Saccharomyces cerevisiae S288C: one gene and its partners. Changing the gene in region 1 together with any one later gene gives a genetic interaction. Each region holds a gene or a part of one and is shown in the gene's direction. Other genes may lie near its edges.

The links.
Region 2: mutations in INP53 (region 1) and GDA1 together harm fitness more than expected from each alone (negative genetic interaction), as found in Saccharomyces cerevisiae (3 studies listed by BioGRID).
Region 3: mutations in INP53 (region 1) and AGE2 together harm fitness more than expected from each alone (negative genetic interaction), as found in Saccharomyces cerevisiae (3 studies listed by BioGRID).
Region 4: mutations in INP53 (region 1) and COP1 together harm fitness more than expected from each alone (negative genetic interaction), as found in Saccharomyces cerevisiae (3 studies listed by BioGRID).

What each region holds. Positions count from the first base shown.
Region 1 is NC_001147.6:519,873-529,101, forward strand, and holds INP53 (phosphatidylinositol-3-/phosphoinositide 5-phosphatase INP53), read left to right. Parts: upstream 1-5,405; coding exon 5,406-8,729; downstream 8,730-9,229. Other genes in the region: SNAP receptor VAM3, read left to right, coding at 1-100; GTPase-activating protein RGS2, read left to right, coding at 1,481-2,410; 2-isopropylmalate synthase LEU9, read left to right, coding at 3,155-4,969; transcription factor TFIIIC subunit TFC7, read left to right, coding at 9,069-9,229. UniProt on the Saccharomyces cerevisiae protein: Dephosphorylates a number of phosphatidylinositols (PIs) like phosphatidylinositol 4,5-bisphosphate (PtdIns(4,5)P2), but also phosphatidylinositol 3-phosphate (PtdIns(3)P), phosphatidylinositol 4-phosphate (PtdIns(4)P), and phosphatidylinositol 3,5-bisphosphate (PtdIns(3,5)P2).
Region 2 is NC_001137.3:71,520-79,080, forward strand, and holds GDA1 (guanosine diphosphatase), read left to right. Parts: upstream 1-2,251; coding exon 2,252-3,808; downstream 3,809-7,561. Other genes in the region: GTA1 (Gta1p), read left to right, coding at 1-1,829; YEF1 (NADH/NAD(+) kinase), read left to right, coding at 4,425-5,912; chitin transglycosylase UTR2, read left to right, coding at 6,534-7,561. UniProt on the Saccharomyces cerevisiae protein: After transfer of sugars to endogenous macromolecular acceptors, the enzyme converts nucleoside diphosphates to nucleoside monophosphates which in turn exit the Golgi lumen in a coupled antiporter reaction, allowing entry of additional nucleotide sugar from the cytosol.
Region 3 is NC_001141.2:271,057-278,078, reverse strand, and holds AGE2 (GTPase-activating protein AGE2), read left to right. Parts: upstream 1-4,232; coding exon 4,233-5,129; downstream 5,130-7,022. Other genes in the region: APQ12 (Apq12p), read right to left, coding at 1-356; GVP36 (Gvp36p), read right to left, coding at 574-1,554; protein kinase PKP1, read left to right, coding at 1,787-2,971; CBR1 (cytochrome-b5 reductase), read left to right, coding at 3,153-4,007; putative protein phosphatase regulator PIG2, read right to left, coding at 5,302-6,918. UniProt on the Saccharomyces cerevisiae protein: GTPase-activating protein for the ADP ribosylation factor family.
Region 4 is NC_001136.10:190,266-199,736, reverse strand, and holds COP1 (coatomer subunit alpha), read left to right. Parts: upstream 1-1,560; coding exon 1,561-5,166; downstream 5,167-9,471. Other genes in the region: YDL144C (uncharacterized protein), read left to right, coding at 5-1,075; LDB17 (Ldb17p), read right to left, coding at 5,512-6,987; proteasome regulatory particle lid subunit RPN5, read right to left, coding at 7,476-8,813; snoRNA-binding rRNA-processing protein NOP14, read left to right, coding at 9,151-9,471. UniProt on the Saccharomyces cerevisiae protein: The coatomer is a cytosolic protein complex that binds to dilysine motifs and reversibly associates with Golgi non-clathrin-coated vesicles, which further mediate biosynthetic protein transport from the ER, via the Golgi up to the trans Golgi network.

The sequences.
Region 1 (9,229 bases):
AGCAGACCAGCATCAGAGGGACCGTAACAAATGCGGTAAGGTCACCCTAATCATTATAATAGTTGTGTGCATGGTGGTATTGCTTGCTGTATTAAGTTAGTAATCTCCTTAAACGCGCATTGAGCACAGACTTTCTGGTAGACCCAATCTTATCTATTTACGAAAACAAGAGTGTATAAGAGTGTATAAGTTATTTTTTGCATTTATTCTTTTGTGGTAGGGGGGTTTCTTAGCCGCTCTTTTTGACTCAAAATTTCCTTTGATGTCTAGTGATAGTGCACTTCCCATGTGCGCAACCTGTGTTTTTTGTACTCCGTAGTTTAAATGCAAGGGCTCGATATGCCCTTTTTCCTTTTTCTACTTTGTACGATCTACACTGACCTTTTTTCAGTAGTCCGTAAATCCCCACGAATTTCTACTAGCGACTGCCAATAAAAAAAGGATTGTGCTACTGTATGTAAAAAGTAAGAACCCTGTTATTTTCCGTTAACTGTCATTTGCCTTACTGTTGCTTAACGGCCGCCAACCGTTATCAAGAAACAAAACATTGTATGCGTTGTCTTCTAAATGAACCTTGTGGGCCCTGATAAACATAAGAACGTGTCTGGCTCGGAAGTATTTATCTTATTTCAATTTTCGCTTTTGCAGAACATCCTTGCCTGTCACTAAGATAAGGACAGAGCGTGGATTAATAAAAATGGCAGAATTTCTCGGCAAAAAAAGAAATCATGCATAATTACCTCGATGTGTACGTTATTGCGGGCACGATCCTGTCGCTACGGCCTGATAGTAGCGGCTATTCTGCTGGCGAAAATTTTCAGCAGTTTGAAATCTTACTGTGGCGTCCCGGTCCAGCCGAGATGACATCTAACTAAGAAATGTCCGCTGCGGCACACCCACGCCGTTGCAGCTAAAGTCGCGCACCAAGCACAGACCTGCTGGAGAATGAGGAACAAGGTTGCGTTAAATGCTTCGGGAAGAACTGCCGAACCGAACCGCTAGAAAAGTGCGCAGGTACCCCGATCGAAGCGGCTCGGCGCTCATTTTAGCACAATCAGAAAAAGGAAATTGAAAGAAGAAAAAAAAAACATAATCATTAACAATTCTTTTCTTGAGATATACGTATATATGACGTCGTCATGTAGTATCTCTTTCGGGATACCCTTTGTAAACGTCCCTTTGTGGAGATGAAAAAAAAACTTGCTGAATAAAGATAGTTAAGGCGCTAGTAATCAAATTAATAACATATTATACCACATCACATCTATACCATTTCCGTTGCACATTGCTTGAACCAGTTGCCAAAATTGACTAAACGGATTTTTACAAAGTCAACGGTGATCACTAAAAGCAAACAACTCAAGCGACGAGGCAAGGAAAGAGAAGAAAAAAAAAATATTACATTGGCTATATAAATATCAAAACATCTTAGGTAAGGCACCTTTGATACATAAAACGAAGAAAATTCAGCACATGCCAGATGGCGAGTGTACCAAGTCTATGCGACATACTGATACCGCTAGAAAAGAATAGTCGCAGCGACGGCGATGCTGAAAGTAGCAATACAGTGCTGATTCAACTGCGAAAAGGGCATCACGAACGGATGCGTTCTCCTTACACAATACAAAAGTTTTACAAATTTCTAAAAAGAGCTCATTGTGAGGAAAATTTAGAATTTTTCGAAAAAGCTCATCAGTTCCTCCAGCTTAAGCAAAACAGGAGTATTAGCGAGGAGAAGCTCTTGGAAGTTTGGAACAAGTCGTTGTACATAAAATACATTGCCGTGGACTCCCCCAAAGAATGCAACTTTTCACAGGATACTAGGGAGATATTTGAGAAGTGCTTTGCTAACAATGAAGTACCTGCCGACGTAGACGTCCTGTGTGCCATTAGCCATGTGATGGGCCTATTAATGGACGGGTATCACCGATTTGTGAGTTCTGTTAATGAGAAAAAGTACTCCGCCACATATGCCCACAATGACTCTGCTACGGAACAAGATCTCAAAAACGAGTCTACAACTTCTTTTTCGTCATTAGGCGTGGAGGATATTTCTGAAGATAGAAATTCGTATCTTAAGAAGCCTGATATCAATGGTTTGTCAACTATCATTCAAGAAACGTCTGCAAACACGACCAATGAGTCGCAATGCAGCGATCGCACTTCTCGGCCAAGCGAGTCCTCTTCCTCACTCAACACTACCAGCTCGACCTACAAGAATACCAGCACTAGAAATCTGCAAAAACCGCAAAATACAGGAATTCTCAACTCGGGGAAAGGTTTATTGCAAAAACTTAACTTTGTTAAAAAACGGAAATCTTTCAAACAGCCTTCAGGCGTCATTTGTAGCCATTATAACAGCAATGTTCAAAACCGTTTGAAAGGACAAAACAGTCATCAACAAAGATAGCCTCTTCATCATCTGTGGAGACACAAATATCTTCATCCTCATCGCCATTACCCAATAAAGCGATCGGTAAAAATGAAAAAAGCGTTGAAAACGGCTTTAAAAAGCTAAATTTGCATGATATCAGTTAATCAAGATTAGAACTTTGATTAAGTAGAACAACGATAGAAAATCCGCTTTTCTGGCTAGTTCCCTCGTTTCATATTAATTCATTTCACACAATTTACTTCATTTCATCACGCTCATATTGTTTGTAACTTTAGTTTTTATTTAATTTTACGTACATGACACTGCATATAATTATTTCACAGGCATTTAAAATAAGAGCATTGGGCACAGTCTTCTTTTATATGTTGTCATATTCAAACACTAAACATTTATCTGTATAGTAATTAATGTTAGCTCTTCCTTCTGCATGGCGCTTGTTATATACTTCATTCGTCTATTTTGGTGCCGCGCGCCATCATGGTCCGGTAACGGTCGTAGTGAATGACTCATATTTTTCCATCTCTTTCGGCCTTGCCAAAAAATGAAAAAAAAAAAAAAAAAAAAAAAAAAAATTAAAAACGATGTCCAGAATCACAACTACAACATAGTTTTGCCTCTTACTGGCTTGATTGGAAGTTAGCTGTTAAATTTCAATAATGCCTTACTTTACTCCACGAAATCACAATCCTTGTTTTCGGCTTATAAGGGTCTTCTCCTTAGGATAATACTATCGGCACATTATCATTTAGCCGCGTAGCCATGGTAAAACATTCGTTCATAGCGCTAGCTGAGCATGCTAGTAAACTAAGAAGGTCTATCCCACCCGTCAAACTGACTTATAAAAATATGCTACGGGACCCATCGGTAAAATATAGGGCGTTTGCTCCACCAAAAATGGTCAAGAGGATTTGGCCTGACAAAACTATTCAAAAGGCTCCACGTTGGCTGTCTACTGACTTGAGGGACGGTAATCAATCTTTACCGGACCCAATGTCTGTGGCTCAAAAGAAAGAATATTTCCACAAGTTGATCAACATCGGTTTCAAAGAAATCGAAGTGTCTTTCCCCTCTGCATCTCAAACAGATTTCGACTTCACCAGGTATGCTGTAGAAAACGCTCCAGATGATGTTGGTATTCAATGTCTTGTCCAATCTAGAGAACACTTGATTAAAAGAACCGTGGAAGCATTGACTGGTGCTAAAAGGGCTACCATACATACTTACTTGGCCACAAGTGACATGTTCCGAGAAATTGTCTTCAATATGTCTAGAGAGGAAGCTATTTCTAAAGCTGTAGAAGCCACCAAACTGGTTAGGAAACTAACCAAGGATGACCCTTCCCAGCAAGCTACTCGTTGGTCCTATGAGTTTTCTCCCGAATGTTTCAGTGATACGCCAGGTGAATTTGCTGTAGAAATTTGTGAAGCTGTTAAAAAGGCTTGGGAACCTACCGAGGAAAATCCGATCATTTTCAACTTACCAGCTACTGTAGAAGTTGCCTCTCCAAATGTTTACGCTGATCAAATTGAGTACTTCTCTACCCACATTACTGAGCGTGAGAAGGTCTGTATTTCTACGCATTGTCACAATGACCGTGGTTGCGGTGTCGCCGCCACAGAATTAGGTATGCTTGCAGGCGCTGATCGTGTAGAAGGTTGTCTATTTGGTAATGGTGAACGTACAGGTAATGTTGATTTGGTTACAGTTGCCATGAATATGTATACCCAAGGTGTTTCTCCTAATTTAGATTTCTCAGATTTAACTTCAATTTCTGAAATTGTCCATCGCTGTAACAAGATTCCAATTCCCCCAAGAGCCCCATATGGCGGTGAATTGGTTGTTTCTGCCTTTTCTGGTTCTCATCAGGATGCAATTAAGAAGGGATTTGCAATCCAAAACAAGAAACAGGCTCAAGGAGAAACTCGGTGGAGAATTCCATACTTACCATTGGATCCAAAGGATATTGGACGTGATTACGAAGCCGTCATCAGAGTCAACTCTCAATCCGGTAAGGGTGGTGCTGCTTGGGTTATTATGAGATCTCTAGGATTAGATGTACCAAGACCAATGCAAGTTGATTTCTCCAATACTCTACAGAAAAATGCAGATGCCTTAGGAAGAGAGTTAAAATCCGAAGAGATTACAAAATTGTTCAAAGAAACTTACAACTACAACAACAATGAACATATATACGTCACCTTGTTGAATTACGAAGTTAAGAAATTGAACCCAGAGCGTAGAGCTTTAGTGGGCCAGGTAGAAATCAACGATAAGGTTGTCAACATCGAAGGCTACGGAAATGGTCCTATCTCTTCTTTGGTGGATGCGCTATCCAATTTACTGAATGTTAAGTTGAGCGTTCAAAACTACTCTGAACATTCCTTGGGTTCTGGTTCTGCAACCCAAGCGGCATCTTTCATAAATCTTTCCTACATAAAGGACATCAATAATCATGCTACTAGTAATATGTGGGGTGTTGGTGTCTCCGAAGACACTGGGGATGCATCTATTAAGGCGGTATTTGCTACTGTCAATAATATTATTCATTCCGGGGATGTTCTACTGGCAGAGTAATAGAAAGGAGTAGCTTATGATTACTCATGTTATATATATATGTATTTTTATTTATAAATGGCACAGAAAAGTAACTTATTTCACGTTAAAAAGACATCTTTCAGCGAAGTTTCCAAACACTTCTTCGATGTCTGTGTGGAAAGTTTCTTTCGTTTATAGTTTTATTATTTTTTTTTGCTTTTTTTCCCATGGTACCATTTCCTTTCGTGAAACATTTTACCCAGGCCCACCCACCGCATAATCTTAACTGAATCCGAATAGGGATTTTTCGAGCACTACTGCAACTGTTGAGTGAGCTAGGAGTAGTGTAATTTGAGACTTTGTGAAGGGAGAACAGTCAATATCCAATATCATATTAAGAAAGCTAGCAGTACCTTAAGAGGAAGAAAGAAAATAACTGGGGCGAAGAATATCTAGTTATCCACTCCTTCATAGAATGATTATCTTTGTTTCAGAAGAACCTGAAAGGAGGCTAGCCATTGTATCCAACTTGTATGCTCTTGTTCTTAAACCGGTTGGGAAAAAGCCATCTGATAAACCCCTTTGTGCCATTGAACTTCTTCAAAAAAATGATTTGAAAAAATATGGCTTCAAAAGACTTACATCACACGAAATTTTTGGTGTTATCGGACTCATTGAGGTTAATGGCCTGCTGTTTGTTGGTGCCATCACTGGGAAATCAAAAGTTGCACAGCCATGCCCAGGAGAGACTGTGAACAAAATTTTTGCTGTCGATTTTTTTTGTTTAAATGACAACAGTTGGGATTTTATTGAAATCGACTCCTCAGGTTATCCTGTGTTGCCGGAGACTGCTTCAACTGAATATCAAGACGCCTTGCCAAAACATCCATGCTATGAATTGAAGAAACTATTATCCAATGGATCTTTTTATTATAGTTCAGATTTTGATTTGACCTCAACCTTACAGCATCGTGGATATGGTCAGCATTCTTTGAGTACAGATACCTACGAAGAAGAATATATGTGGAACTCTTTTCTCATGCAAGAAATGATCACATACAGAGATCATTTGGACACAAATTTGAAACAAATCTTGGATGACGAGGGGTTTTTAACAACAGTTATCCGTGGATTTGCGGAAACTTTCGTCTCGTACGTTAAGAAGTTGAAAGTTGCTCTTACTATCATCTCGAAACAGAGCTGGAAAAGAGCAGGAACAAGATTTAATGCACGTGGTGTGGATGATGAGGCAAACGTTGCCAATTTCGTAGAAACGGAATTCATTATGTATTCTAGCCAATACTGTTATGCTTTTACACAGATTAGAGGCAGTATACCTGTATTCTGGGAGCAAGGTACCTCTTTAATCAATCCAAGAGTACAAATTACAAGATCATTTGAAGCCACCCAACCGGTATTTGACAAACATATCATGAAATCAGTGGAAAAGTACGGACCTGTGCATGTCGTTAATTTGTTATCAACGAAATCTTCTGAAATTGAACTTTCAAAACGATACAAGGAGCATTTAACTCATTCAAAAAAATTGAACTTCAACAAAGATATATTTTTGACAGAATTCGATTTTCATAAAGAAACTTCGCAAGAAGGCTTTTCCGGTGTCAGAAAACTCATTCCATTAATATTGGACTCTCTTTTATCTTCTGGCTATTATTCTTACGATGTTAGAGAAAAAAAGAACATATCTGAACAACATGGCATATTTAGGACCAACTGTTTAGATTGTTTGGATAGAACAAATTTAGCTCAGCAAATTATTTCTTTGGCTGCTTTTAGAACTTTTCTCGAAGATTTCCGATTGATTAGTTCAAATTCGTTCATCGACGATGATGATTTCGTTTCTAAACATAACACCCTGTGGGCTGATCACGGTGATCAAATTTCCCAAATATATACTGGTACTAATGCTTTGAAGTCCTCATTTTCAAGAAAAGGTAAAATGTCACTTGCTGGGGCATTATCAGACGCCACAAAATCGGTCAGCAGAATATATATTAACAATTTCATGGATAAAGAAAAGCAACAAAATATCGATACTTTGTTGGGAAGGTTACCGTATCAGAAAGCAGTGCAACTTTATGATCCCGTAAACGAATACGTAAGTACGAAATTACAAAGCATGTCTGATAAGTTCACATCAACCTCCAACATTAACTTGTTAATAGGATCATTCAATGTTAATGGCGCAACCAAAAAAGTTGATTTATCAAAGTGGTTATTTCCAATCGGTGAAAAATTTAAACCCGATATTGTTGTTTTAGGTCTTCAAGAAGTTATAGAACTATCTGCGGGTTCGATTTTGAACGCTGATTACTCGAAAAGCTCTTTCTGGGAAAACTTAGTGGGTGATTGCTTAAACCAGTATGATGATAAATATCTGTTGTTAAGAGTAGAGCAAATGACTTCTTTACTAATTTTATTTTTTGTTAAAGCAGACAAAGCTAAATACGTCAAACAAGTGGAGGGTGCTACTAAAAAAACTGGCTTTAGGGGTATGGCTGGGAATAAAGGTGCAGTGTCTATAAGATTTGAGTACGGTGCCACTTCATTTTGTTTTGTCAATTCTCATCTCGCAGCAGGAGCTACGAATGTCGAAGAACGTCGAAGTGATTACGAGAGCATAGTTAGAGGTATTACTTTCACTAGAACTAAGATGATTCCTCATCACGATTCGATTTTCTGGTTAGGTGACATGAATTATAGAATAAATCTACCGAACGAAGACGTCAGAAGAGAGTTGCTCAACCAAGAAGAAGGATATATCGATAAACTGTTGCATTTTGATCAACTTACCCTAGGTATTAATTCTGGCAGTGTATTTGAAGGCTTCAAAGAACCAACTCTCAAGTTCCGTCCAACATACAAGTATGATCCCGGGACAGGAACTTATGATTCTTCTGAAAAGGAAAGGACGCCGTCATGGACAGATAGAATTATTTATAAAGGGGAAAACTTACTTCCTTTATCTTATTCAGATGCTCCGATAATGATTAGCGACCATCGGCCAGTTTACGCAGCATATAGAGCAAAAATAACTTTTGTTGATGATAAAGAGAGACTATCTCTCAAGAAACGTTTATTCACAGAATACAAACAAGAGCATCCCGAAGAACCGGGTTCTCTGATATCGGATCTTCTCAGCCTTGATCTGGATAATAAGAGCACTGATGGATTCAAAAGCTCTTCTGAAAGTTCTCTACTTGATATTGATCCGATAATGGCACAACCGACAGCGTCCAGCGTTGCTTCTTCGTCACCTGTGTCTTCAGCATCGGCTTCACTACAACCTGTCAGAACTCAAAACAGTAGCCAGTCGCGTACCCCCATAAAGAAACCGGTATTGCGCCCCCCACCCCCACCTGCTCATAAATCTGTATCAGCACCTGCTCCTTCAACATCGAAGGAAAAATCACCAACACCACAGACCTCAACTGCATCGTTGTCATCTGTGACTAAAAATATACAGGAAAATAAACCATTGGCGCAAAATAGACGAATTCCACCACCAGGTTTTAGTCAAAATATATTAACTCCAAAAAGTACCAGTAACTTGGCTTCGCCTATGTCTTCTAAGGTTGATTTATATAATAGCGCGAGTGAATCTACACGTTCAGCCCAAGATGCAAGACAACAGACACCTACAGCATTTGCAGCATCAAGAGACGTCAATGGGCAGCCCGAAGCTTTGCTAGGTGATGAAAATCCAATTGAGCCAGAGGAAAAGGCCAAACTAAACCATATGACTTTAGACTCATGGCAGCCATTGACCCCAAAATGAGAATATGTTATCTTTGAAGTGTGGTTGTTGTTCCGTTTGTATCCCTTTAAATGAACGAAGAGAAACAAGGGGGCTAACCTGGCCAGGTTGTTTTATGTGATTTTATTTAGATAAATATTTATATAAATATTCAGTGAGAGAAAAGGAGTGCGTTAATAAGGCGCGCCGGGTTTAAAGCTGAAAAATAGGACACATTAATATATATACGTTAAATATTGGTGAATACTTATGGGCAAGGTGGAAGAGAATCTCTACTATCCATAAATCCTCAGTAGGCTTTCCCCTAATTACCTTCATTTTTCTACCTCAATAACATATTACTCCTTTTCAATACATTTTATGGTGGTGAACACGATATATATCGCAAGGCATGGATACAGATCCAACTGGCTTCCGGAGGGTCCATATCCTGACCCACTTACAGGAATTGATAGCGATGTTCCTTTAGCAGAACACGGAGTCCAGCAAGCCAAAGAGTTGGCCCATTACCTTTTGTCCTT
Region 2 (7,561 bases), on another chromosome or scaffold:
ACAAAGAAATTGAGTCTTTACAAAATGAAATTTCCAAGATGGAGGAGTCTAACAAGAGATTGAACGCCTCCAAAAAATCATTGATTACTTCCATAGTGGTGAATGCCAATGTGGAAAACGATAAACCTATTGCTAGCGGAGAATTGTCGGCTGTTTTGAAGAAGCTCAATGATTTTACTTTAGAAAAAAATGGATTTTTAAGTAATGCTGGTGAAGAGTTTCTATCCAAATTGAATGCAGACTCATCATTGATTAAAATGATTAAGCAAGAGCTAAGCATTGATCAAGAATTGGAGGCCAACTGGAAATTGCAGAGGTCAAATTTGTTGAAGAAAATTAGTGCTTTAGAAAACCAATTTAATGAAATGAGCCTTAATAATCGGAATTTGAAAACAAAATTAATGGTTCAACCATATAAGAATAACGGTGATTCGCTTGCTGCCACCAATTCGAATAATTCCGCGGAAAAAAACAGAAGTTCTGGATCGATTCAATTACCATTATCCAACAACATGTCAAGAACGGGGTCCATTGATTTAATATCGAATAATAACAAAAGTATTAACAACAGTAATGCTGATTCTGCTCCTCCGTTGAGGTTGCACAATCCAGTTTCGTACTCTCCTTCGAATGAACCCATACAACCTTCAAGCAGTCTATTGAGTCAATTGACACAGGACACCGATAATCGATCAATGCTCTCCAATCACATCTCATCGAACAACGAAAACAAGCAACAGCCTTCTTCATATTCACATGCTTTACCTACAACTGCTACTGCTAATGCAACAGCAACAGCAACAGCAACTAATGGTCACTCAAGGTCAAATTTATGGACCACCGCACAATTCGCTCAACCTTCGCATCAACAAGTATCTACAGAATTGGATCAAGCTTTTGAATACGATAATGCAAACCACTTAATCAGTGGTTTGCAAAATATGATCTACGACGAAACAGACTATCCTGATAACATAAGCAATTATTCCAAGGGTTTTACTACAGACGAACTTGACAATTACTGGACTAAGCAGCAACCCCAGGTGCGCAGCACAAATGAAAGTCTTTTCTCTACGACTGGAACACCTATGTCATCATATAAGGCTAACCCAGTAATATCTCCATATTCTAGTTCTCATTTGCGACAAACCTCCAACGCAACCAATACGAATCCTATGCATCCACAGAGTCTACTCGCCGCTACATTGAATGATCCTTCATTACAAAGTTTTGTACGCAGTGGTTCTTTCTACAGTGCTCCGCAACCTGCAAACTCCTTACAGAACAATATCAATGGCAATGAAACCGAGAACATTAGTCCAAGGATATCAAGTGACTTCAATTTATTGGTGCCAAACTTGAGCCCACGACTCTCAAACGATGTGCCCATTGTTCCAGGCAATAACACTACTTTAACACCTTCACACTCGAACATATTAACAATGAACCATCAACCAACGGCGGATAACATTACACGAAGATCTTTCCATGCCTCTTCACCACCTTTCAACTCCATATGGAATTCAAATACAAATCAACTTTCTCCTCCATTGGAGGAGCAGTATCACCTCGATGTGCCTGTGGGTCCAAAGGTTCCCGCTAAAGAACCAAGCCCTAAGCCTTCTCACAAGAGGAACCAAAGTAACAGCAGCATTTCTTCTGCATGGTCCAAGTTTAAGCACAAGTCTGCATCATCACCTGCTAATGCGGACACGGATATTCAAGATTCATCAACTCCATCAACTAGTCCAAGCGGTAGAAGAATGTCAAAACTGTTGTCCAAGAGCGGTATGAATAATCTATTTAACCCGCACAGTCACGACTCATGAACAATATTATAATACTTCCAGGTCGTGTATATATGTAGATATATAAATTATGAAACATAATATATGAAAGCAGTTTGAGCTTATTCTTAATCATCAATAGGGTAACGGTATTAATCTCATTTTTTCTTTTTTTTTTTCTTTTTATTTTGGCGTCTCGTCTCAATTTCATTTTTCCCATCTTTTTACAACTTCAATATGAAAAACATAACACATGAAAAATAACTGTCAACATTAATAATATTCCTTGCATAGTGCTTCGATTTTCCAAATATAAAAACAGTTTCTTTTACAAGCTTATTTAATTTTGGTTTTAAGGAGAAAGCACTAATAAAAAGGGCAAGGACTGCAATCAACAATCTTTATTGGCGAACAGTTAAGGGTCCTCTCGAGAAGAAACATTAAGACATCATCGCACAAAAAACATGGCGCCCATCTTTAGAAATTACCGGTTCGCTATCGGTGCTTTTGCCGTTATTATGCTCATTTTGTTGATTAAAACATCTTCCATCGGTCCACCTTCTATTGCACGTACAGTTACTCCTAATGCTAGTATTCCCAAAACTCCGGAGGACATCTCTATCTTGCCCGTCAATGATGAACCAGGTTACCTTCAAGATTCGAAGACTGAACAAAACTATCCTGAGCTTGCCGATGCTGTGAAGTCACAAACAAGTCAAACATGCAGCGAAGAACATAAGTATGTTATCATGATCGATGCCGGCTCTACCGGTTCCCGAGTACATATATACAAGTTTGACGTCTGTACTTCCCCACCTACATTACTTGATGAAAAATTCGACATGTTAGAGCCTGGTTTATCTTCTTTCGATACCGATTCCGTTGGTGCCGCTAACTCCCTTGACCCATTACTGAAAGTAGCAATGAACTATGTCCCTATTAAGGCAAGAAGTTGTACTCCCGTTGCGGTGAAAGCTACTGCAGGCCTAAGACTCTTGGGTGATGCCAAATCTTCAAAAATTTTGAGCGCTGTAAGGGATCATTTGGAGAAGGACTATCCTTTCCCAGTTGTCGAAGGTGATGGTGTTTCCATCATGGGCGGTGATGAAGAAGGTGTCTTCGCCTGGATTACTACAAACTACCTATTAGGTAATATCGGTGCTAATGGCCCCAAGTTACCTACTGCTGCCGTTTTTGACTTAGGCGGAGGGTCTACACAAATTGTTTTTGAGCCTACTTTCCCAATAAATGAAAAAATGGTCGATGGTGAGCATAAATTTGATTTGAAGTTTGGTGATGAAAATTACACCTTGTACCAATTTTCTCATCTAGGTTACGGTTTGAAGGAAGGAAGAAATAAAGTTAACTCTGTTCTTGTGGAAAATGCATTAAAAGACGGCAAAATATTGAAGGGTGATAACACTAAGACTCATCAATTGTCATCTCCATGCCTACCGCCTAAAGTTAATGCCACAAATGAAAAGGTTACATTAGAATCCAAGGAAACTTATACCATTGACTTTATAGGGCCGGACGAGCCAAGTGGTGCACAATGTAGATTTCTGACTGATGAAATTTTGAATAAAGATGCTCAGTGCCAGTCTCCACCATGCTCTTTCAATGGGGTTCACCAACCTTCTTTAGTTCGTACATTCAAAGAATCGAACGATATCTATATTTTCTCTTATTTCTACGACAGAACCCGTCCATTGGGTATGCCCTTGTCCTTTACTTTGAATGAATTGAACGATTTGGCAAGAATAGTGTGTAAAGGCGAAGAAACTTGGAATAGTGTCTTCAGTGGCATTGCGGGGTCCCTAGATGAATTGGAAAGTGACTCGCACTTCTGTTTGGACTTATCTTTTCAAGTGTCCTTATTACATACGGGATATGACATTCCATTACAAAGAGAATTGAGAACTGGAAAGAAAATTGCCAATAAAGAAATCGGTTGGTGTTTAGGTGCGTCATTACCATTGTTGAAAGCTGATAACTGGAAATGTAAAATTCAATCAGCTTGAATAAGAACATGGACACCGCTTTTCGTCCCATGTATATTAAGGAAGAGGAGATTGCGGTGATATGTATTCTGTTATATGTCCTATTCTATAACCCTTGAACAATATGTAAACGATTTTTACGTTATGAAAATCACTATTATCCCCACAATAGTTTATTATAACACCGCCGCCAAGACAGGGGATTGAAAAGGCCTTCCGAGGTTTATCCATTTTTGGTAAAAGCCCGCCACGCCTTCAGGTGTTTGAGTATGAACTGGAAGAGTTATCTGTTAGGACCTCATAATCTTGAACATATGAGATAATTTAATATACTTTTGTTATGGATTGTTCCGTTGTTTTAAGACTATATGGCTTTGTTTTAGTTTTAGGGTGATTGTGGATATCACACCGGTCCTCAAGAAAATCGAAAACAAAAGGATAATCGGACTTATCTGGTGATCGAAGAAACTGCATTTCAGGTCGTTTAATAAACTGCTAGCTATTGATATTATATATATAAATAAACCTACAATCAGGTTAGTGTATTCATCTCACTTCTATAGCGTTGTGAAAGGGAAATGGAAATAGTGCAATCTCAATAAATCTGCTTACGTGACATTTTTTACTAAAAGAGAATATGAAAACTGATAGATTACTGATTAACGCTTCCCCGGAGACATGTACCAAGGGAGATGCTGAGATGGATACTATGGATACTATTGACAGAATGACATCAGTTAAAGTTTTAGCGGAAGGCAAGGTATTAAGCAACTTCGAAGAACCGGGCTTAATGAGGTGCGGTTATCATGATGCAAAAAACTGGGTCAGAAGATTATCGAGCGAAACAATTGTCGGTGAGGACACGAGTAATTTATACCCATTTTATGTTGATACTGCATACGATGTAAGGCGTTTGAGAAAGGATCTTATAAATGCTAAGGTTGACTTGCAGGTTGAAAACCTGATAATAATCTGCAATATTAATGATATTTCCACTGTATTTCTCATGAGAGAAGTGGTGGAATGGATCTTACGCAATTTCCATTCAATAACTGTATATGTACAAGATATTTTTAAAAAGTCAACTCAGTTTGCTGTTGGTGACCTCTGCAAAGACAGCAATTGCAGTAAAAACAGAGTAAAGTATTGGTCAAAAGAATTTGTTAAAAAACACGATTCATTCTTTGACTTGATGATTACACTAGGGGGTGATGGAACTGTCCTTTTTGCTTCATCTATATTCACGAAAGATGTTCCGCCGATTGTTCCATTTGCCCTTGGATCATTAGGATTTCTAACAAATTTTGAATTTCAAAATTTCAAAGAAACGTTGAAACATATCTTAACAGATGAGGTTCGTATTAATTTACGAATGAGGTTGCAATGCAAACTCTACCGTAGAAATAAACCAGAAATTGATGCCGCAACTGGGAGAAAAATATGTTACATCGATTTCATCTCCGAACATCACGTATTGAACGAAGTAACCATAGATAGAGGTCCAGCTCCTTGTTTATCCCTATTAGAACTCTATGGAAACGACTCACTAATGACTAAGGTTCAGGGAGATGGATTGATTGTTGCCACGCCTACGGGATCCACGGCATACTCATTGAGTGCAGGAGGCTCTTTAATATCGCCAAGCGTAAATGCCATAGCGGTGACGCCTATATGTCCTCATACTTTGAGCTTTAGGCCTATAATTTTACCAGATAGCATGGAATTAAAAGTTAGAGTAGATATGAACTCAAGAGGGACGTCGTGGGTGAATTTTGACGGAAAAGATAGAGTTGAATTGAAACAGGGTGACTATGTTGTGATAACTGCAAGCCCCTATTCGGTACCGACTATCGAGTCATCTGCCAGTGAATTTTTTGAAAGTATCAGTAAAAATCTTAATTGGAATGACCGCGAAGAGCAGAAGCCATTTGCACATATTCTCTCGCCAAAAAATCAAGAAAAATATAGATTAGACTCATCGAAAAATGGAAACGACACCATAAGTAATCCCCTCGAGAGTTCATGCATAAGCTCAGATGCACAAGATGAGGAGAGGAAATCCGTAACGGAAACAGAAACAGAAATAGTTGTTGAACGGACTCGTCAGGCTCATTTTGCAATCTAACGATTTCCCACATCCTGCGTTTCCGTAGTCAAGGGTTCATAATGGATGATGAGCCTGTAAACAGCTTTGTATTTACCTCTTTTACTTCAAGAATGCTCTTGCGTCGTTTGCAGTGTCGAAGAAGATCCAGTAGAGCTATACAAAATGGAGAAATGAAACAGTTGAACCAGAGCGCCGCATTTGGCAGGTAGTTTCGCTAAATTTCCTCATGCGCGTTTGTAATTATGCTAGTTAACCATATGATAAGGTTGCCTAACTTGCAGTCACCGGAAGGTTATTTCCGGAATGGTGCAGAATAATTTTTAAAATAGTAGCATATATTTCGTTCCAATTCCCAAATAGGGAATTATAATTATGACAGATAAATTCCCGATTAGGAAGAAGCGCGAAAATTCTTGAAAAACTTTTTTCAACCTCGAAGAAAATCGTCGTCCTTCGAAGATTTAGTGGGAATCTTCAAGGTGGATAGTTTCCAAATTAAAACTGCAGAAGAGGCTTTTAAAACATGCCTGAGGTATAAAAAGAACAACATTCCTGGTGATTATGGTTTCTGTTGGACCCTGTTCCCTTTGTAAAACTTCTATTTATTGTCCTGCAAATAAGCTAATTATATAATTAATAATGGCAATCGTTAATAGTTGGCTAATTTGTTTAGTCAGTATTTTTTCCTTCGTGGTACGTGTAGAGGCCGCTACATTTTGCAATGCAACTCAAGCATGTCCCGAAGATAAACCATGTTGCTCACAATATGGTGAATGTGGTACTGGTCAATATTGTCTGAACAACTGTGATGTAAGATATTCGTTTAGTCATGATTCATGTATGCCTGTACCTATCTGCAAGAGTTCATCCACTAAATTCAAAGATTATTCCTCTAAGTTGGGGAATGCTAACACTTTCTTAGGAAATGTTAGTGAGGCTGATTGGTTGTATACTGGTGACGTTTTGGATTATGATGATGAAGAAAGTTTAATTTTGGCGATGCCCAAGAACAGTGGTGGTACCGTTCTTTCCTCCACGAGGGCTGTTTGGTATGGTAAGGTCAGTGCTAGAATAAAGACGTCACATCTTGCTGGTGTGGTCACTGGGTTCATTCTGTATTCCGGCGCAGGTGATGAACTTGATTACGAATTCGTCGGTGCTGATCTAGAAACTGCTCAAACCAATTTCTATTGGGAAAGTGTTTTGAACTACACGAATTCTGCCAATATTTCCACTACTGATACATTTGAAAACTACCATACTTACGAATTAGATTGGCACGAAGATTATGTAACATGGTCCATCGATGGTGTCGTCGGTAGAACCTTGTACAAGAACGAAACTTATAACGCCACCACCCAAAAATATCAATACCCACAAACCCCATCCAAGGTGGATATTTCCATTTGGCCAGGTGGTAATTCTACCAACGCTCCAGGAACCATTGCATGGTCTGGTGGTGAAATTAATTGGGACGCATCCGATATCAGCAACCCAGGATATTATTATGCTATTGTCAATGAAGTTAATATCACATGTTATGATCCACCAAGCGATACCAAGAAGAATGGTACTTCTGCTTATGTGTATACTTCGTCCAGTGAATTTTTGGCCAAAGACATTGCTATTACCGATGATGAGGTCATGATGGACAGTGATGAGGGATC
Region 3 (7,022 bases), on another chromosome or scaffold:
TCCAGGGCATTAATAAACAGAGTATAAATTTTAAATGCGTAGTATCTATTTGACATGACGAAATTGTAGAAATTCAACAGGTCCACAGTCAAAAACTGCTGCGAACCACGCATATAAATACCGATACATGTTACTACCAACGTCAAATACAGGAATCTTTTGACCAGAGTAATGAAGTTCATCAACAACTTGTAAAAGACATAAAATGTGAAGAAAATAAACAATAGTTGGAAAACTAACGGGTGTGATTGGCTGAACTTAGTAATAGTAGGAATCAACCATTGGATGACGTCAATGGCAGACTTTAGGCATTGTGTTACTACGGATAGTTCGTATTGCGGTTGAGTAGCGTCCATTTTTGGGTTGCTCACTTTGCCCTTTGGTGACTGTTACGAAATTTTTTTCAGTAGCTTTTTCTCTTCCAGTAATTATATTTTCTCTACAAAAAATATACTCACTACAAAAGCCAGCAAATAAATGATAATATTCGTACGACACTAGAGAATATGATATTGTATTAAGTAAATATATATATATAGAGAAGGAGAGAGAAAGACAAGAACAGGGCGGCTATTAAGCGTCGTCTTCGTCATTCATAGAGATAGCTGTCTGTGGCTTTTCTTCTTCTGCAACCTCAGGCTTTGCTTCCGGCTCTTCCGCAAATGAGTTGGATAGGAACTCTTTCATTAGGCCAGCCGAGGTTTCAAAATACTCAGCTTGAGCCTTGGCCAATTCCTTCAAATCTTCACTGAAGTTAGCGTGAGAAATAACCTCCTGCAAGCACACAGTAGCGTCTTCAGTGACTTGAGCAAACTGGTCTTCCAAAGTCTCCATTTGGACTCTCAAGGAAGCTTCCTTTTCTGGCTTCTTGTTGTTTGCCAAGTTAGTTCTTGCCACGTCATATCTTAATCTCATGGAATGGACATCCTTGCGGCACTTATCGGCCTTACCGATCTCAAAAGAGAGCCTTTCCCTCAAATTTTTATTGAATTTGGTTTGAATCAAGGTATCTTGTTGAATTCTAGCTTGAGCAATCTTAGCCTGCACATCACTGAATTGCAAGAGTGCCGAAGCCAAGGGTTGTTCCTCGGTGGGGAACATCTTGTTCAAACATTCACTGGAGTTCAAAGCCACTTTACTGAGGGCGTAGTTCAACGTCTTGGGTTCTTTGATGGGGCCTGGAGCAACTAAGATGTTTTGTGCCTCAGACGCAGATGTAGCATGAGTCAACTCTGTCAACTTGGAAGCCACGCTTCTTGAAAACTCGTTGACGGATTCGTTGATGTATTTAGGGTAATCGTACGATCCGTTTTCGTAGATAGCAGTTACACCCAAGAAGTGGTTGTAAATCAGTTTGATGGTGTCAACCTTATCTTCCAGCTCTGTGTACTCTCTTGGCAATTGGGAGATGTCCGTCACCTGGCCCAAACGTTCCTGGACCATTCTTTGGGTGGATTGCGCCAAACTGGGCAATTCCTGGGTTTTTTCGGAAACACTTGTGGATATTTCCTGTAATTTCTTGCTCAAAGAGCTGGCGAAGGCATTAAACGACATTGATGACTATGATTTGTTGCTTATTCCACTCCTCTGCCTACAAATCATATAGGTTATAGGTGAAGAAGGTTGCAATTTTCTTGTTTTTGACATCCCGATTAATCCACCGCTCGCTTCTCACGGTAATAAGGGAAAATGTCTGCCAGTATGAAGCAAACAACATTAAACTGAGAACATTGGTGAGTCAAGACCATAACTGGAAGACGTGGTATCAAGACGCCTTCACGGTAGTATGTGGAAGATTATGCGTTCATGGAAATGTGGGGGAATGCGCTGGGCACATCGCCAGCGACCCTCACACGAGCTGCTGTCGCAACTGTCGTTCGACCAGCATTACAAGATTAGGTCGAACATTGAGCTGCTGATACAGGACTACGCTAGTAAACCAATTGCGCCCCTAAACTACGAGTATTTCCTGCAATACAGGCCGCCGCTGACCAAGAAGGAGGAGTACATGCTGACGATCAAGACAATCAACCTGTTGCTTTCATTGACGTGTAAACGGCTTAATGCCATTCAGAGGCTACCGTATAATGCGGTAATCAACCCTCATATTGAGAGAACCAACTCTTTGTATTTGAAAAGCTTGCAAACGTTGCTATCAATCGCATACCCGTACGAGTTGCACAATCCTCCCAAGATACAGGCCAAGTTCACAGAACTGCTGGACGACCACGAGGACGCCATTGTGGTATTGGCAAAAGGTCTTCAGGAAATCCAATCGTGTTACCCAAAGTTTCAAATTTCGCAGTTCTTGAACTTCCACCTGAAGGAGAGAATCACGATGAAGCTGCTTGTGACGCACTATTTGTCGTTGATGGCACAGAACAAAGGTGACACGAACAAAAGGATGATTGGAATCTTGCACCGGGACCTCCCCATAGCACAATTGATCAAGCACGTTTCTGATTATGTCAATGATATATGCTTTGTGAAGTTCAACACTCAGCGGACCCCGGTCCTAATTCACCCGCCATCACAAGACATCACATTCACGTGCATTCCGCCCATTCTGGAGTATATTATGACAGAGGTATTCAAGAACGCTTTTGAAGCTCAGATAGCTCTTGGAAAGGAACATATGCCCATAGAGATCAATCTTTTAAAGCCAGACGATGACGAGCTGTACTTACGGATACGGGACCATGGTGGTGGGATCACGCCCGAGGTAGAGGCCCTCATGTTCAACTACTCTTACTCTACACATACCCAACAATCAGCTGACTCTGAGTCTACAGATCTGCCCGGCGAGCAAATCAACAACGTCTCCGGCATGGGCTTTGGTCTACCAATGTGCAAGACGTACCTAGAACTGTTTGGGGGCAAGATTGACGTTCAAAGTTTACTTGGCTGGGGCACGGACGTGTACATCAAGCTCAAAGGCCCTTCTAAGACTGCACTACTCTCCAAAAAGTAACAGTGCTAAATTTCCTCGTAAAGCGGTACCATTAAGGGCTCTTTCTACTTCTTTAAATTATCTACATATGTATAAATATTCTTATTATATAAGGCGAAAAAATGAACGAGAAAAAAAAGTGTTGAAAGTATGCATTCAACTGGCTCTTCAACAAGAGACTCAATCAATTAAGCAATCGAAGATGGCTATTGATGCTCAAAAGCTTGTGGTGGTCATCGTGATCGTGGTCGTGCCTTTGCTCTTCAAGTTCATTATCGGACCGAAGACCAAGCCTGTGCTGGATCCCAAAAGGAATGACTTCCAATCATTTCCGCTGGTTGAAAAAACCATCTTAACGCATAATACTTCGATGTACAAGTTCGGGCTACCTCATGCTGACGACGTACTCGGTTTACCAATTGGTCAGCATATCGTAATTAAGGCCAATATCAATGGTAAGGATATTACCAGATCGTATACGCCCACATCGTTGGATGGAGATACAAAGGGAAACTTTGAATTACTAGTGAAGTCTTACCCCACAGGTAACGTTTCTAAGATGATTGGAGAGTTGAAGATAGGTGACTCGATCCAGATCAAGGGCCCTCGTGGGAACTATCATTATGAGAGAAACTGCCGTTCCCATCTAGGGATGATTGCTGGTGGTACTGGTATTGCGCCCATGTATCAGATCATGAAAGCTATTGCCATGGACCCTCACGACACTACCAAGGTCTCTCTAGTCTTTGGGAACGTCCATGAGGAGGATATTCTGTTGAAGAAGGAACTGGAAGCGTTGGTGGCCATGAAGCCTTCCCAATTTAAGATAGTTTACTACTTAGACTCTCCTGACCGTGAAGACTGGACTGGTGGTGTAGGATACATTACCAAGGATGTCATCAAGGAACACTTGCCCGCTGCTACAATGGACAACGTTCAAATTTTGATCTGTGGTCCTCCAGCCATGGTTGCCTCAGTTAGAAGAAGTACCGTGGACTTGGGGTTCAGACGTTCCAAACCGCTTTCCAAGATGGAAGACCAGGTGTTTGTGTTTTAAGATAAGGAACTGTAACAGAGTGCCATATATATATATATAGATTGGAACATATATAATATATACGCTATTTAGTTTAGTCACCTAAACGCACCGTTTCCATATTTCGTGCTGGACGATTTTCGACTCGATAATACGTATAAGATCGGTACTAATAGTAACAAAAGTAAAGGTAATACTTGCTTCAACTGTACAAAGGAGCATAGAACGTGGGGCAATTTACAAGCGATGTCGACGTCAGTCCCAGTCAAGAAGGCATTAAGTGCTCTTTTACGCGATCCAGGAAACAGTCATTGTGCCGACTGTAAGGCGCAACTACATCCACGCTGGGCTTCCTGGTCACTTGGTGTTTTCATTTGCATTAAATGTGCTGGTATACATAGATCATTGGGAACGCACATTTCGAAAGTGAAATCTGTTGATCTGGATACATGGAAGGAAGAACATTTGGTGAAACTGATACAGTTCAAAAACAATTTAAGAGCTAACTCATACTACGAAGCTACTTTGGCTGATGAATTGAAACAGAGGAAAATCACTGATACGAGCAGTTTACAAAATTTCATCAAGAATAAATATGAATATAAGAAGTGGATTGGTGACCTCTCCAGTATTGAAGGGTTAAATGATTCTACTGAACCAGTTCTGCATAAGCCGTCTGCGAATCATTCGTTGCCTGCTTCGAATGCAAGATTGGACCAGAGCTCAAATTCATTACAAAAGACGCAAACACAACCACCTTCCCACTTATTAAGCACCTCAAGGAGTAATACGAGCTTATTAAACCTACAGGTTTCATCGCTTTCTAAGACTACATCTAATACAAGTGTAACTAGTTCTGCAACAAGCATAGGTGCTGCTAATACCAAGACTGGCAACAGAGTCGGTGAATTTGGGCAAAGGAACGATTTGAAAAAATCCATTTTATCTTTATACTCAAAACCTTCTGCCCAGACTCAAAGCCAGAACTCATTTTTCACTTCCACGACACCTCAGCCTTGTAATACTCCGTCACCATTCGTGAACACTGGAATTACCGCTACAAATAATAATAGTATGAATTCAAATTCCAGTTCTAACATTTCATTGGATGATAACGAGTTATTTAAGAACGTCTGGAGTTGAATAAAAAGTAAAAAAAGAAAGCAAATATAGAAAGCAACAAAAAGAACATCATTCCAGTATATTATTTTATATAAAGAAAATGACCTTCAAATAAAAATAGAAAGTACGTATTCTTATCTTTTTTTTTTCTTTTGTATATGTAAAACAATACTATTAGTTTTTGTTTTTTTCTTTAATGGAATGGGTTTCTGAAAAGACTATGTTTCATCTCGTAGTTATCATTGACGTCTGTTGTGGGCCCTGTCCTCGTTTCATTCGTTACCACGTCAATTTTATAGTTTGCCGAATCATTATTGTCCCAATATTCCTTCCTAGAACGATCAACGCCCCAAGTTAAGTATTGAATACAAAACTCCAATTGTGATATATTGCTATCTTTATCATTTGGATTGTGTATATCATCAATGGAGAACTTAAAAATATCCATATTGCTTCCTGGTAAGATGCCATTGGCATTAGAAAAATACACGCATTCTGATTCATGAAAAGTTCTCCATGCATCCCATGTATATCTTACGATAATCTTCTTATCAAAGTATATGTTTTTCACAAAGACTTTGCCAATTATAACCATGTTGTGGAAGCCAGTTAGTAGCGTAATTTCTTGCAAAAAAACGGGCCTTCCACGGGAAAGATTCAGAAATATGTTAAGTTTTAAACTCTTACGGTTCCTGTCACTTAATATTGGAAAGTTCTTGTTGTAAAGACCAACAATTCTTTTAGAGTTTCCAATAAACAAGTTGGCTCCTGATTTAGCAGAATTTGTTCTTGTTTCTAAATAATCGTCGTCATCGTTTATTAACAAATTCTTCAACCCGTGCGCAAGATGAGCTTGGTCTTTGTCTTGTTGCCTTACTAAACGGTTTATAGCGTCGTCACTATCATTGTCATTTTCAATATCACTGTCATCGTCACTTAGTTTAAACTTCTTTTTTTTATTTCTACGATTATTAGAATTTGTACCAAATAGGAATACACCCTTCGGGTTTTGTAGCCATGTATCTCCATATTCGTTTTGGTTGTTTTCAGATAGTAAATCTTCTATAGGTACGCTATCACTACCGCCATTAAGGGCACTTAGTCTCGTCAAAGGCTTATGCTTGAAATTCAGAACATCTTGTTGAACCATTTGTTTGCCAACATCTATGGGTTTCTCATTTTCATTGAACAGCTTTATTGGTAAAACACGATCGAAATGGACACTTTTACTTCTTTGCAATAGCCTAGTATCTACATGATCTAAATTGACATGTTTACTCTTAGAGCCAGTTTTGTTGAATATAGATTTGGGAGTAATGGGTAGGGACTTGGATCTTCTTTTTAATGAACTCTTAACCAGTTCTCCAGATTTCTTGTAAATGGGAGGTGAAGGATTACCATTTTCCTCGGATTCATACTGGAAATTATCATGTGATAGAGGAGAGATTTCGTCTTCCTCCTCGCCTAATTTACTGACGTCTTGATGATGTGCGTTAAAGTTCGCTCCAGAATTTATAAACGGGTGATGGGCATGAACTTGTTTCCCATTAAAATACATTCCCTTATTCATGTCCGTATTTCTTTGAAGCTCGTCCTGAGGTAATCTGTGCAGTTTTACATTAGATAGTCTCCTGGGCTTGTGCAAAAACTCCAGAGAGTTCAGCCTGGCAGGGTGCATGTGCATGCTCATACCAGCAAAAGTTCTTATATTCGCATTTATGTTTCCATAGTTATTGTTGTGGGCACTGTTATTAGGAAGATTTAAAGGTTCATCCATCAGTATATTTTGTGGTTGCGTGGTGGTGGCCATACGGATAAAAGCAATAATACTAGCTAGCTATATTATCTTTTTTTATTTATTATTAAGCTATTACCAAAGCTGGCGCCTCAACTGTTGGGTTCTTGTCTATTTTA
Region 4 (9,471 bases), on another chromosome or scaffold:
GAAAATGTCTAGAATACTAGTTATCGGGGCAGGTGGCGTTGGGGTCATTACTGCGCTTTCGTTGTGGCTTAAGAAGGAGAGCGACGTTTCCTTGGTAGTCAGATCTGACTACGATAGGGTATTGAAGCATGGCTACACAATCGAATCATGTGACTATGGCCGGTTAGAAGGTTGGAGACCCCACCATATTTACAGCAGCGTCGAGGACGCTGCTTCTGCCGCAGACAACCAAGGATACAACTATATTGTAGTGACTACCAAGAACATCATAGATGGGCCCGTTAATTCAAGGGTGTCCAACATCATCAGACCTGTGCTTGAGAAGAATAAAGAGCTACATGGGCCGCAATTGACGACACACATTTTACTGGTACAGAACGGAATCGATATTGAGAAGGAGATATGGGCGGAATTTCCCAGAGAGCAGTATCGTTACACGGTGCTTTCTGGCATCCAGTTAATCGGATCCACTAAGATCGGGTCAGGCCATATCAGTCAAGTGGGCCAGGACCACTTATCGTGTGGAGCTTTTGATCCACAGGACGCTGCTGCTATCCAGGCTGCCAACGACTTCGTCAGGATGTACAGCAACGAGGGGCAAAACTTTGTCGAATTTGACCCTAGGGTCCGTTACTCTCGGTGGAAGAAGTTGCTCTACAATGCAGCTATCAACACATCCACGGCACTTGTGGGGCTAGACGTTCCGCGTTGCCTGGAGTTTGGGGTTAACAAGAAGAGCACAGAAATTGAAGTGTTCCACCCTGCCATGAGGGAGATCATCGCCATTGCGGCGAGTGAAGGCATCATTATCGAAGAGGAGTTCATAACGATGTTTACAGAGATTACCAGGAAAAAGGTGTTCAAGCCATCCATGTGCGTGGACTGCGAGAAGGGCCAATTGATGGAGCTAGAAGTCATCCTAGGCAACCCCATAAGAATCGCGAAAAGAAACGGCGTCGCTACACCCACTCTTTCTATCTTATACAACCTACTTGTGCTAGTACAGGCCAAACTAAAGGAGCGGAAAGGCCTATTGAAGTTCGACGAAAAAACTGCCACTCTTGTGGACGAGTAGTTCCAACCATTGCTTGCCTCGTTGACGAGCCTTCATCTAGTATATTGTAACACATAATTTAGTATGTACTCTTAACTATTATTCTTATTGTCAGCATTTATACGACGTACAGAGCGACCGAAAATTTCGACAACACGAAACGAAATCGACAATTTGCCAACTTGAATAAATAACAGATCCGTCTTCGAGACTGTGACGATTGAGCCTCGATTCAGTAGCATACAGGGACCACAAACTTGTTTGAAGAGGCATTGCAATTAGGTAAATCATAGAATTGGCGAAACCAGCAGGATTTTCCAAACATTTGTTACTTACCCCCTTCTTTGCTTAAGATATAAAGTTTTTTCTTTTTATTTTATCTTCCCTTTACACTTTTGAATAAAAACATTATCATACCTGTTTACAAATTCGCGGTTTATTTAACCTGAAATCAGTATACTTTTTTTCTTCTGTAGTGTCTTTGTTCATTTCATTACTGGATCAAGATGAAGATGTTAACTAAATTTGAATCAAAGTCCACTAGGGCCAAGGGCATTGCCTTCCACCCCTCCAGACCTTGGGTTTTGGTGGCTTTGTTTTCCTCTACTATTCAATTATGGGATTACAGGATGGGAACACTACTTCACAGATTTGAAGACCACGAGGGCCCTGTTCGTGGGCTAGATTTCCATCCAACCCAACCGATTTTTGTTTCGGCAGGTGACGACTATACCATTAAAGTTTGGTCCTTAGATACTAACAAATGTCTATACACCTTAACTGGGCATTTGGATTATGTCCGTACCGTGTTTTTCCACCGTGAGCTGCCTTGGATCATATCTGCTTCTGATGACCAGACCATAAGAATCTGGAACTGGCAAAACCGTAAGGAAATTGCATGTTTGACCGGCCACAATCATTTTGTCATGTGTGCTCAATTTCATCCAACCGATGACCTGATCGTTTCCGCTTCTCTGGATGAAACCATCAGAATTTGGGATATTTCCGGTTTAAGGAAAAGACACTCCGCTCCTGGTACTAGTTCATTTGAGGAGCAAATGAGTGCACAACAAAATCTATTGGATGGCTCTCTTGGTGACTGTGTTGTCAAGTTTATTCTAGAGGGTCACACAAGAGGTGTCAACTGGGCCTCTTTCCATCCAACTTTACCATTGATTGTCTCCGGCAGTGACGACCGTCAAGTTAAATTATGGAGAATGAGTGCTACGAAAGCTTGGGAAGTTGATACTTGCAGAGGTCACACTAACAATGTTGATAGTGTTATCTTTCACCCACATCAAAACTTGATCATTTCTGTCGGTGAAGACAAAACGCTAAGGGTTTGGGATCTTGACAAGAGAACTCCAGTAAAGCAATTCAAAAGAGAAAACGATAGATTTTGGTTGATTGCAGCACATCCTCATATCAATCTATTTGGTGCAGCTCACGATTCTGGTATTATGGTTTTCAAGCTCGATCGCGAAAGACCATGCAGCTTTATCCATCAAAACCAGTTGTTTTTTGTCAATGCGGAAAAGCAAATCCAAAGTTTCAATTTCCAGAAAAGAGTCGCTTCATTACCTTATGCGTCCTTAAAGGGTATTGGTCAACCTTGGGATGCATTCAGAAGTATATCGTACAATCCCTCCCAACATTCAGTTTTGGTTAATGAAGCTAATGGCAAATTTGCTCTCGTTATTTTACCAAAACAACCAGTTGGAGCTGTGGAGCCAACAAGTGTCACCCAAGATACAGGTAATTTTGCTACTTTTGTTGGTCGTAATAGATTTGTTGTTTACAACAAGAACACTGAATCTGTTGAAGTTCGCTCTCTCGAAAACAAAGTTACAAGAAATATCAAAGTAGAGGAAACAGTAAGAACTATTGTAGCTGCAGGTCCTGGATCTGTTTTGGTCATACACCCCAGAGAAGTTATTCTTTATGATGTCCAACAGGGCAAAAAAGTATCCCAATTGGCTGTTAAAAACGTCAAGTACGTTTCGTGGTCCTTAGATGGTCAATATGTTGCATTGATGAGTAAGCACACCATAACTTTGGCTACCAAAAAGCTAGAATTGATTAATTCTATGCATGAAACGATTAGAATCAAAAGTGCCGCTTGGGATGAAACTGGTGTATTAATTTATTCAACTTTAAATCATATAAGGTACTCACTATTGAACGGGGATAGAGGTATTATTAAAACTTTGGAGAAAACTTTATATATCACAAAAGTTCAGGGAAAATTAGTGTACTGCTTGAACCGTGAAGGTGAGATTGAAATTTTAACCATTGATCCTACAGAATATCGCTTCAAAAAGGCCCTGGTTAACAAAAATTTCCCAGAAGTTTTACGTCTGATAAAAGATTCTAATTTGGTTGGCCAGAATATCATTTCCTATCTGCAGAAGTCAGGTTACCCAGAAATTGCTTTACAATTCGTTCAAGACCCACATATCCGTTTTGATTTAGCTTTGGAATACGGTAATTTGGATGTTGCCTTAGATGAAGCCAAAAAACTGAATGATTCTAGTACTTGGGAAAGATTAATCCAAGAAGCCTTGGCACAAGGTAATGCCAGCTTAGCTGAAATGATTTATCAAACTCAACATTCTTTTGACAAACTTTCCTTCCTGTATTTAGTTACAGGTGACGTTAACAAACTATCTAAAATGCAAAATATCGCTCAGACTCGTGAAGACTTTGGAAGTATGCTATTAAACACCTTTTACAACAATTCAACCAAGGAAAGATCTAGCATTTTTGCAGAGGGCGGCTCTTTACCATTAGCTTATGCCGTAGCAAAGGCTAACGGAGATGAAGCGGCTGCTTCTGCTTTCTTGGAGCAAGCTGAAGTTGATGAACAAGATGTTACTTTACCAGACCAGATGGATGCCTCCAACTTCGTTCAAAGACCAGTGATCTCAAAGCCACTTGAAAAATGGCCATTAAAAGAGGCTGAACTATCTTACTTTGAAAAGGCTGTTTTAGGTCAAATTGACGATTTGACTATAGACGATGAAACTCCAGCAGTAAACACCACTCAAGAGCAAGAAGAACCACTAGGCGAAGAAAACTTTAACGATGAGGATATTGGTGAAGACGAAGGTGCCTGGGATTTGGGTGACGAAGATTTGGATGTGGGAGAAGAGTTACCTGAAGAAGTTGAGCAAGGCGAAATTACCTCTCCAGCACAGGAAGTTGAAACAGCCATTTGGATCAAGAATTCTAAACTGCCTGCTGTCCTAGTTGCCGCTGGTGCCTTTGATGCCGCTGTTCAAGCCTTGAGCAAGCAAGTGGGTGTAGTCAAGCTGGAGCCATTGAAGAAATATTTTACCAACATTTATGAGGGTTGTAGAACATACATTCCTAGTACGCCCTGTGAACTTCCTGCTCAATTAGGTTATGTCAGAGCGTATGATGATACCGTAAGTGAAGATCAAATTCTTCCTTACGTGCCAGGTCTTGATGTCGTTAATGAAAAAATGAATGAGGGTTACAAAAACTTTAAACTAAACAAACCAGATATTGCAATCGAATGCTTCAGAGAAGCTATCTACCGTATTACGCTATTAATGGTCGATGATGCTGAAGATGAAAAATTAGCACACAAGATACTGGAAACTGCTAGGGAGTATATATTAGGTTTATCCATTGAATTGGAACGCCGCTCATTAAAGGAGGGAAATACTGTACGCATGCTTGAGCTAGCTGCATACTTTACAAAGGCAAAACTATCCCCAATTCATCGTACCAATGCTTTACAAGTGGCTATGTCCCAACATTTCAAACACAAAAATTTCTTACAGGCCTCATATTTTGCCGGTGAATTTTTAAAGATTATTTCTTCTGGTCCTCGTGCAGAACAAGCACGTAAAATCAAAAACAAAGCCGACTCAATGGCCAGTGACGCCATTCCAATTGACTTTGATCCTTATGCTAAATTCGATATTTGTGCAGCCACCTACAAACCAATTTATGAAGATACACCTTCCGTTTCTGACCCATTAACAGGTAGTAAATACGTTATCACGGAAAAAGATAAAATAGATAGAATTGCTATGATTTCTAAGATCGGTGCACCTGCATCCGGATTAAGAATACGTGTATAAATGCTATTTTGCCTATTGATTTTCTCGGGATTGTATTCTGCTCGACCTAAATTTCATGTGACAAGTCCTTTTAATCTAAACAATATGATAGTGAAAAAAAAAAACTGACTATGTAATTAACAGTTATATACAACTTCTAAAATAAAAAATATCGCCTATTTTAACAAGTGACACACAACCTGAAATTCTGCCAGCATGTATTCGGAAGCAACCCGAACTTTAGTTTTATAGTTACGATTGTTGCATTTGTATATAAAAAGTACAATGTGTCATTAGATACTGCAGTGAGTAGAAGAAGAAATGGTCGGAAGAACCACATTAATGCAAGAAGAAATAATGCTTTACTTATTTTGGAGTTCCACATTTTCTTGATGGAGGAGGAGGAGGAGGCGGAGGCGGAGCTTTAGCCTTTCTTTTAGTCAAAGATTCTGCAGAAACATCTAATTCACGATTACTATAAAGATGGCCTTTACGAGCCAAGATATTTTGATTGTCGGGCGTCCCCAATGCAACAATGCTAGAGTTTCTACTAGTGTTATTACTAGAGACCGATGAACCTCCATCTGAAGGCGTTGAAGGTGTCTCTAACCAAGGAATTTGTTGAAGACACTTCCGAGATAAGGCCACTGTAACTTGATGCTCGTGCAACGCTGGACTGTCAACGCATATATTATCTAAAGTCGACAAGTAGTTTAATAGTTTATTCAAATCATCCTTTCTATAATGTGTTTTGGATAATTGTGTATTCTTTAATAGCGGAATCAGAACCCTTAGAAGGGTGTTTCTCAATACCTCTTCATCCTCACTGATATTCTGTAGTTCTCTGATTAATACATCGATAAGAACACGTAAGTCGTTTGTATAAAAGAAATTCATCGGAGAGTAGTCTCCTCTTGGTGTCAAGATAAGATAAATAATTTTGCACATCATAATTTGTAACGGAGGGTCCGATGCCCTATTGAATTTCAGTAATAATAGCTCCGTAAAACATCTTGAGACAGACCCATTGATCAAATACTTATAGACCTTGTTCTCAATGTCGTACTCCTTGGCAAACATCATATATTGTTCGTTCAACGCCAACAGCAGTTTAAACTCCGCGTTATTGAACATATCGTCCATAGTGTCGGACCTCATTGATTCCATCATATAGTAAACAAAAAAGTCATCCACAATTTGAAGATTAGCAATAACACACTTACAGTACTTCATAATTTGAAATAACAAATCCATCAAAACAGTTGAAATTTGCTTCATTTCGTCTATAATACCCAAATCAATATCAGTCAAACTTCGGTCTAAACTGTCCAAGGATGTACCTGTGCTAGAATTATTAGAATTGTATTGATGTTTAGAAGCAACTGTCCTTTCCTTTCCGTATTTGCTCAAATAGGCGAATTGTGTGTACAAGGTATTATAAAACACAGTAAATCCTTGGAACTTGAGCATGATTTCTAAGGAGTACACGTTTTTTTTCGCCTCACAGAGAAGAATGTAAACAATAATGAACTTCATATTCATTTCCAGTAGGTCTATGTTGAGTAACGACTGCAACTTACTTAGGCAAAACTCTTTTTTAAATTCAAATAAGGACGATTCTAACAGTATTAGCGACATCCGGTAGAGGTCACGATCAGTATTAATAAAAACCTTATAGGAATCAGTAGCAAACTTCAGGTAGGCAACCAGGCTTGAGTTAACATGGGATTCATCCAAGTTTTCCTTTGGTATGTTAGCAATAGACTCAGTTTTTTCCCAAAACTCAATTATTTCATCTTGAGTATGATTTTCAATATTTGGAGATAATGGATCTAATATCATGAGTCAAAATGAAAGGAAAAATGTTCGAAGAAAGTATAGGCTAAAGTGACATAAGTTAATCGAAAAAAAAATATTCAAAGTTTAATTCTTGTTTACTAAATGAAAAAAATATTTCACTGTTTAAAGATATGTCTATAGGTGTAGTAATTAATGTTCAGAGTTTTGCTAATCAAACGAAAAAATGACTCTTTACGCTGCTATTAATGTCATTTAAATACCATAAACAGTTTACCGTTTTGACTTTTCACTTTTTTTTTGGGTGTCTTCTTTCCCCTGAAAAATTGAAAAACTAAAATTCCATTAATTGTCACCTTATGTTTTGTGTAAGCAAGTGAAGAGAATGAGAGCAATACGTGGCCATTTTCCATTTGAGTTATATATATGCATAGATAATTTTATCTCACGTACGTAAATACACATTTCGATTAGTAACAGATTTAAAATCAAAACCGGATCTGAGATAATCCGACACTTACTCGAAAATCTCTTCATTTAGCTTGCAAACCGTGCATGATTTCCTCTTTTGTAATTAAATGGCCTATTGTTTCTATATGTTCTAATAGTTCGTCAACATTATGTGACCATTCGTTCAATAATTGGCTTGAGTTTTTTGGTTTTTCAAAATTCACGATTTTGGCTGGGCGATTAACTTTAGCGTATATGATGCCCTGGTTTACCAAATCACTGATGTATGTTTCCGTCTGGCTCTCCGTTAGGTCCAGCAATTCATTCAATCTTAGTAAAGTAATTCTGGAATAGTATTCGGAAATGACTCTTAAATTGTGCTCGATGACCCTTTTTTGTAAATCTTCCCAGTGATGCTTATTAGCTTCTCCACCAAATGCCAAATCATCCTCATTTAAGACGGGCTCATAGGTTTTTTGAACAATTGGCCATCTCATCAACTCATTCGTAGTAAACAATTTTACTAAAGATTCTTGGCTTTCTAATTTTTTCAGGTTGTTATCATTCTGGATTTTGTGAATTAAATCATTTTGTAAATTGCCGTAAGGTGAAAGGACTAAGAAATATACAATGTGCGATAAAACAGGTTTCCACTTAGCCTCATCTGATTTAATGGCGTCTGTTTGATAAATTTCTTGCAGATACTGCGCAACTTCTAGGTATTCTCTCTTGTGCAAACTAATTTTTACCAGAAGATTATAATATTCTAGCTTCAATGACTCGTATTTTGGATTTTTAAAAGTTTTTTTCAGAATTTTTCTTGAAAGCACCGTGGCTTGGGAATAATCACCTTTTAATATACTCAATTCCATTTGCTCTAATATAAACTGAATTTTCTCAGACATTTCCATGGAGCCATAGGTCTCAACCTGTAACTCACACAAGATGTCTGCAGCTTCATCAATCTTACCCTCTTCTTTCTTAATTTCCACCAAATCTTTGGTGACCCTAGCTCTTTCCACTTCTACAAATATTTTGTTCTCTGTAACCACCCTGATAGTTTCAATGACACTAATTCTGGTGTTTAAATCCAAAGATTTCGAGCTTTTCAAATATTCCATAACCTTTTGTATCATATACTGAATTGACAATTTCAACTGACCATGCTTTTTTGAGAGTAGAGTCAATTGCTCATTTAGGTCGTCCCACTTATTCCTTGATGCTAGCAGATCTACAATCTTGGCCAAAACTTCTTTCGAGGAGGCCAGATCTGAAGCTTGTCTGGTTTTCTTCTCCAACACTAACAGTTGGTCTAAAGCAGAGTTACAATCATTTTGAGCGAGCGAATCGATCTTAGGAAACTCTTCCTTCAAAATTTGGCTATAATCCTTGTCAGCCTTAATTGGTGCATCTCTTGACATCTTTCTCTACGTTTACTCTAGCAACAAAAATGGTAGTGAGCCCAGCAGTATATTCCTCTACTCTCTTAATTCAAGATTATCTCTGATGTAGTGTCCTGTTATGGTTTTTCCTTGGATTCCCCTTTGCATTTTGCCACCGAAAAGTCAAAAAGATCACATACAAGACGGGTAATATTGGGGCGATGAGCCGTACAGAACGAGTGAAAAATTTTAGGATTTATTAGGAATAATAATGATAATTTAGAGATGAGCATTTAGCGAGAAGCATCTGAAGGTTGCACTAATTATTACTGTAAATAGTACAGTTGAGAAGCAAATAAAAGGGAAGATCAAATACATGGCCGGTTCACAACTTAAGAATTTAAAGGCCGCCTTGAAGGCCCGTGGACTCACAGGTCAAACAAACGTCAAAAGTAAGAATAAAAAGAATTCCAAAAGACAAGCGAAGGAGTATGATCGTGAAGAAAAAAAAAAGGCCATTGCTGAAATCAGAGAAGAGTTTAATCCGTTTGAAATAAAGGCTGCAAGGAATAAGAGGAGAGATGGTCTGCCTTCTAAAACTGCTGATCGTATTGCTGTGGGTAAGCCTGGTATCTCTAAACAGATCGGTGAAGAACAAAGAAAGCGTGCATTTGAAGCAAGAAAAATGATGAAGAAT